2 linked regions of the Arabidopsis thaliana genome follow. The protein of the gene in region 2 interacts with the protein of the main gene of each other region in a pairwise test. Each region holds a gene or a part of one and is shown on either strand. Other genes may lie near its edges.

The links.
Region 1: the proteins of AT3G21330 (region 2) and ZFP3 interact in a two-hybrid assay, tested with the Arabidopsis thaliana proteins (one large-scale study listed by BioGRID).

What each region holds. Positions count from the first base shown.
Region 1 is NC_003076.8:8,685,077-8,688,915, forward strand, and holds ZFP3 (zinc finger protein 3), read left to right. Parts: upstream 1-2,111; 5' UTR 2,112-2,447; coding exon 2,448-3,155; 3' UTR 3,156-3,339; downstream 3,340-3,839. UniProt on the Arabidopsis thaliana protein: Acts as a negative regulator of abscisic acid (ABA) signaling during germination and early seedling development. Involved in the regulation of vegetative development and fertility. Modulates red light signaling in seedling photomorphogenesis.
Region 2 is NC_003074.8:7,505,696-7,509,295, forward strand, and holds AT3G21330 (basic helix-loop-helix (bHLH) DNA-binding superfamily protein), read left to right. Parts: upstream 1-1,544; 5' UTR 1,545-1,875; intron 1,876-2,008; 5' UTR 2,009-2,024; coding exon 2,025-3,146; 3' UTR 3,147-3,491; downstream 3,492-3,600.

The DNA of each region.
Region 1 (3,839 bases), on a different chromosome or scaffold from region 2:
GGGTTATGATCTAGTAATGATGTAATACACAACCTTATGTGGGAAACCAACAACAAGTAAACTATATATCAATTCAAATGACAGATTCACTGCTACACCACAGTTAAAAACAATCAATCATTTCTCATCGAAATAAATCTGCCATCAAATAATTCCAATGAGTTTTTTTTTTTTTGGATAAAATTCCAAAGAGGTTACTAGTGTGCATAACTCCACGTGGTAAGTAAACCCATAGTGGATGAATGTTATGTCTGCAATTGATAATATGTCAATTTTGGGTTAATTAGTTTTTAGTAATTTTTTACCAATAAAATTATTCCACTTTTAGAAAATAATCACTGCAGATTTGTAACTTTCGTTCACTTTGAAAACTTTTATTGAATTGAATAAATTTAGCTAATCATGTTAACTATTAGATTATAATAAGGCCCAAAAACACTTAGATGAACCCGGTTAGTGGTTAATACTTTTACTATATGATACTTAATTACTTACCGATAGCATTGACAGATTAAAAAATACACAAAAGCTTTGTCAAACAAAGAGATTTGAAAGACGAATCAAATCTCTCTACATACAGGGAAAATTATGAATAGCTACATGTCACCATCTGTTTAAAGTAAGATCCAATGTTCTCATCTGTATCTTTTGACTATGATTGATGACTATGTGACCTATATCATATAAATACAACGTGGTAAATTGTTATACTCATTAAGCTACCATAGTCCATAATACACTTTAATTTCCCAATTCACGATTTCACATTACTCACTAATCTAACATTTTATGATCAATCTATTGAGTATTGAGGATTGATGAAACAAAGAACGAAGGTATACTTAAATGGAGATGTCATATAACTCAGAAAGAACTTCACATATACATTTATTAAAGGAAAATTAGTTTTCTTATGAAAATAATTAGCCATTAATTAGAAACTGAAAACTCTTAATTAGCTTTTTCCCATTTTTGTGTCGGCCATATGTAACGTTGGACCCATCAACTAGGTCACAATTGGCATACGACAAATATACATAACTTTAAACCATTAGATCTTTTCTCTTTCATTACAAGCTAAAGTAATTCAAATTTAGCTAAATAAATTTAAACTAAAACTTTGGAAATGTGGTTTAGATTGTTATCAAAAGCTTAAGTGGGTTTGATCTTGCCGATGTGGCTTCCAAAAGAAAAGTATTAATTGGTTGAAGAAAGTGACTTTTGTCATGCAACCTAGTTGTATGTCATGATGTGAAATTAAGTGGGAAACCAAAATTCATATTGACAAATCCACTAAACTCTTTAGATGATAAAGTAGAAGAGCGTGTGGAAGTTTCAAATATCATTTCCTTTAAGATTACACAACAAGAGAAAGGTTGATCCATCATAAAGACGAAATATTCTTTAAGTCATATACATGGTCTACAATTTCTCACTAAGATACAAAGTAAAATCGATAAATATAATAATGAACGTACGAGTGGTTTCCAAGTTGTTCTAACCAGGTGCTTTGTCAAGATCATCGATCTATATTCTTACCCGAAATACTTACTTAACTATTATTACAAAGTTCGAATAACCAGTTCTTTTACTTTGTGATTAGTTTGAGCTTTGGTTTGACTCAATAGAAGACAAAAGAAAGAATAGATGAAGGAGAGGACCACACGAGAAGCCAAAGGAGACAGAAATGGTCACTTACCTCGTGGAGTTATACAAAAGTAGACATAAACAGACCTGAACAAATTTGGATGGTCCATGAACAGTACTCTTCCTTTTCAATTTTTATTGTCATCTTTCTCTTCTGTCATTTCATCATGATGTACTTACTATTTTGAGAAACTGCTTCGTTTTCCATTGTCTTTTCGATCCCTTAACTTCTTTTAGAAAATGTTCATACTTAAAATATTAAAGGATTCCTTAACATGCACTACAAAAAAAAAATTATTATGGATTGTGGATTACCAATGGTATAGTACTCATTTGGTTTACTTAGATATTTGGTCATTCATAAACTGAAAATCTAGAAACCCAAATAAATCTGAACCGGAATCAAAGCGAAATTTAAATTCTACACACTTAATGTATTTGTTGGACTATTGAAGGAGGAAGCAGCCAAAAAGGGTAAGAGTCATATATATAGATAGAGGTATTTAGATGGTGGAGTTCCAATCAACTAGCTTTAAAGTGTTTTGTGAGAAGGGTGTGACAGCAAACCAAACCTACCTATCGCTCTCATCATAGTACTTTGGTCCACTTATTACAAAACCCTAAGAAAATGTTCTAGTGTAGGGTCTTTGTTTCCTTTGTCTATTCCTTTCTAATACCATCTACTTCTGCTCCCATTCACTGATATAAACCTCTTCTCATAGCTATTATTGATAGAAAGAGACAGAGAAAGAGAAAGAAAAAAATCATCTCCTGAAAAAATCTATCCCTTTTTAGCTCTCATGGACGCTTCAATAGTTTCCTCATCCACTGCTTTTCCATATCAAGATTCTCTAAACCAGAGCATCGAAGACGAAGAAAGAGACGTTCATAATTCTAGTCACGAACTCAATCTCATCGACTGCATAGACGACACAACGAGTATCGTTAACGAATCTACAACATCCACAGAACAAAAGCTTTTCTCATGCAACTATTGTCAAAGAACTTTCTATAGCTCACAAGCACTTGGTGGTCACCAAAACGCACACAAGAGAGAGAGAACGTTGGCGAAGAGAGGACAACGTATGGCAGCGTCAGCCTCAGCTTTTGGACATCCTTACGGTTTCTCTCCACTTCCTTTCCACGGACAGTACAACAACCATAGGTCTTTAGGGATCCAAGCGCATTCGATAAGCCACAAGCTAAGTTCTTATAACGGGTTTGGTGGTCACTATGGTCAGATCAACTGGTCAAGACTTCCATTTGATCAACAACCAGCCATAGGTAAATTTCCCTCAATGGATAATTTTCATCATCATCATCATCAGATGATGATGATGGCTCCTTCAGTAAATTCACGGTCCAATAACATCGATAGCCCAAGCAACACAGGACGGGTTCTAGAAGGGTCACCGACTCTTGAACAATGGCACGGAGACAAAGGATTGTTGTTAAGTACAAGTCATCATGAAGAGCAGCAGAAACTTGACTTGTCCCTCAAGCTTTGAGATTCTTTTTCTTGATTCTTGAATTTAGTGTCTTTTTACTGTTTTTTCATGTGATTGTTAGTACTATTTTGTGTATATTTTTTTCTAGTAAAGATAATCTAATGTACATCTTTTTCACATATCTACTTTAGTCTGAGATTTGTAAACTATTAACTATACATTAATGGATTTCAAGTAGACATCCAACAACCGTATAAAGTATAGAGTAAAGGAAAAAAGAGAAGAAAAGTGAATATTGAGATCTGTGGGAAGATTTGATTTCAGAGTCACAAGAAAAAGGAATTAATATTATAATTCAAAGTTAGGTTACCTAAAAGTTAGAACAATCATTCTATTTGTTTAAAAGTTGCTAATAAGACATTTAAACAGAACAAAACAGATAGAAATAAACTATGAAGACAGTTGCTGTGTAGGATGATTGTGACACTAAAAGCAAAAGAGTACTAGAAGAAAAATTAAACACAATATCAAATACAATTCTTTGGTAGTATATACCAAAATACATGTAACGTTAAATAAACTAATAAAGCATCCAATGGGGTTCTCTTTGTTAGAGATTATTAGAAGGGCATCACATTGCTCCATATGTAAGAAAACATTAAAAGACAAAACTTGTCATAGATGTTGCTATCATCACTTCACGCGTGTTTTCGACAAATGGTCGAAACAGTATTCACCAAATAA
Region 2 (3,600 bases):
CGAATGTTGGTTATTTCAAGCCTAAGGAGGAACGACTTGGGAAATAAGAAGCGACTAATAATGTACTTCTCTACTGGTATATGGAAATTACAAAGTTTTCGAAAACTACTCCAAAAAGTGTTCCACATCGATTATATATGATATCATGATTATATATAATCAAATAAATCCACAAAAAGAGTGTTTGGTATTTTTATATAACACGTTCTAGCCAAAAGAAATGAAGATAAACTATACAAGAAAGTGTTGCTAGATAGATCGAGATGAGGATATTGATCATTATTGACTGATGATGATAGCGAAAAGGTAAATTAAACAAACACATAGAAAAGAATAAGAAAATGGTATAGATAATAGAATCATGAATTACTTTTACAGCTTGATCATTTTTAAAATAAAATATACAATCAACATTAATCTGTTATTCACCAAAAAATAAAAGATCCAAAACCTAAAACTTTCTTTCGATCTCTCCCTTAAAGTTTTCAGTTCGCACGACGCTAAAAGGATTGTCAGTCCTTTTTCTCTGCTCAAGCACTCGTAGATTTTTAATTACATATCCCTTTTCAGTATTCATCAAGTGCATAATCATATAGTCTATGATTTTTATCAAGTATTATATCTATTTTCTAGGGTTTCAAAAAAAGATGCTCTTCGATTGCAGAAACTATTATGCACACCAACCTCATTTAAATAAATATATAATTCAATCGTCTAGATTATTTTCTATATTTTAATACAAATCATTCGGTTAGCTTTAGGTTAATGAATCAGTGATCTCACTTTTCTCTTTGCGCGTGTGACATTATTTTTGACCATGAAAAATTAAATAATTTTGGATTAAGAAATTATTAAATAATCCGGTTTAGGAGATGTTTTAAGTTTAGATTCGGGAGTGTTGTAAACTCTAACGTTTAGTTTCGGTGACAACTTTTAAATTCAATTTTGATAGTCGTGTATCTATTATCCAACAAAATCTCACTTAGAGATATCAGATATATCGCAAAATTAATCGAGATCAACTTCAATAGTTTCATCTTCTACGAAAGTAAAGTTGTCGCCGCCGGCGTCTTCAATTTAACGTGTCGATAACGTTCCATATTCGAGTTTGCATATGCATGTCACTGGAAATAATAGTTAAATCATCTAAATCGCATCCATTAATGATTTGATCATCATAAAATTTGGTAAAAAAATTACCTAACTCAAAAGTAAAATATAAAAATTAATCGTTTGAGTAGTTAATTAGTTTACCGGTATACTAGTTAAAAGTTTTTTTCCTTTGACGGCGCTCATATATATGTTTTAAAGTATATCAAAATAGGGATTTAATTCTTAAAGTTACACTAATCCTAATTCTTAAAGTTAACCATCCATACCAATTTACAGAAGTACAGAACTAGTGCTTGATACAGAGGAACAATTGATCTCATCGAAAGTTGGGACCTTTTTAAAAATAATACTATTATATATATATAATAAATATACAAATATATTTAATATTTATTCTATATATAAATATGTGCATAATAACAAATCTGAGTATGAATAGTAGGAGGGGTGTATAGGGCTTTCAAGTCTTTTCTTACAGAAACTATCTATAACTCTAGCAGAGAGCTCATTATAGAACAGAACAGAAACAGAGCTTTCTAAGTCTACAGCACAGAAATAAACCTCATTTACAGACTGTTTTACTTTCTTTCCTTTTTGAGCATTTCTTCTTTCTGTTTCTTTCCTCTGTTTTCTCTTTCTTTCCCTTTTTGGGTGTCATCTCTTTAAGACAGAAGAAACGTTTCTCAGAGTTTCCTGTGAACTCATCTGTTTGTTCTCTTCTTCCGGTTTCACTTTTTCATGTCCTGCCGTTATTACAACGAGGTTGGTTTAAAGATCAGCTTTTATCATTTTTCCCTGCATGTAACAAGAAATATTTAGGTTTCATGTCTGTTTACAAATATGCTCTGTTTCTAAGTATGCCTCTCACATTTGTCTTTGTTTTGGGTGTTTTTAGGATTGTGTTTGATCCGATGGAAGGATTGGAATCTGTGTACGCTCAAGCTATGTATGGAATGACACGAGAGAGCAAAATCATGGAGCATCAAGGATCAGATTTGATTTGGGGAGGAAATGAGCTAATGGCTCGAGAACTCTGTTCTTCTTCTTCTTATCACCACCAACTCATTAATCCGAATCTTAGCAGCTGTTTCATGTCTGATCTTGGAGTCTTAGGTGAGATTCAACAGCAGCAACATGTTGGCAACAGAGCTAGCTCGATAGATCCATCATCACTCGATTGTTTGTTATCTGCGACGTCGAATAGCAACAACACCTCGACGGAGGACGATGAAGGAATATCTGTGCTTTTCTCAGATTGTCAGACTCTTTGGAGCTTTGGTGGAGTCTCATCTGCAGAGTCTGAGAACAGAGAGATCACTACTGAGACGACAACAACGATAAAGCCTAAGCCTTTGAAGAGAAACAGAGGAGGAGATGGAGGAACTACTGAGACTACAACAACAACAACAAAACCTAAGTCTTTGAAGAGAAACAGAGGAGACGAGACAGGAAGTCACTTTAGTCTTGTTCATCCTCAAGATGATTCGGAGAAAGGAGGTTTCAAGCTTATATACGATGAGAATCAATCGAAATCAAAGAAACCAAGAACAGAGAAAGAACGAGGCGGTTCTTCGAACATTAGTTTCCAACATTCAACTTGTTTGTCTGACAATGTCGAGCCCGATGCTGAGGCGATTGCACAAATGAAGGAGATGATATACAGAGCGGCTGCATTTAGACCGGTGAATTTCGGGTTAGAGATTGTGGAGAAGCCTAAGAGGAAGAACGTCAAGATATCGACGGATCCTCAAACGGTTGCAGCGAGACAGAGAAGGGAGAGGATAAGTGAGAAGATTAGGGTTTTACAAACATTGGTTCCAGGTGGGACGAAGATGGATACTGCATCAATGCTTGATGAAGCTGCTAATTATCTCAAGTTCCTTAGAGCACAAGTAAAAGCTTTAGAAAACTTGAGACCCAAGCTTGACCAAACCAATCTCTCTTTCTCTTCTGCTCCTACATCGTTTCCATTATTCCACCCATCTTTTCTTCCATTGCAAAATCCTAATCAAATCCATCATCCAGAGTGTTGACAGATTATAAACTTTTGAGTTTCATCATCATCAACAGAATCATGGCGTCTTGATTGTTTTAGCAGTTCTCAAGAAAGGCAACTTCTGTGACAAGGGTGGTGTCGGGCAGTGTTGTTTACACTTTCCAGTCTTTGTTTTGCATTTCTTTTTATATAAAGTTTGTATTTTATATAGAATCTGTGGAATTCGAGGGTTGAAATATTGTGAAAAACAGAGCCGCAAGAGGTTAATTACAGTCTCTGCAATATTTTCAACCTTTTATTACTTTATTAGAGTAAAGATAGCGTAAGATAATTGCAATTATGAAGCGATGATTATCAACAAAAGTGTTTAGAAAGTGCCTCCATCTCTCTCTACTTAAAAAAGTTTAGCTTTACTTGAAGAACTCTTTTGGAGTACTAAAATATAAAATTAATATTCATCCTCTTTTTTTGGTACTCAATAAACTCTGTCT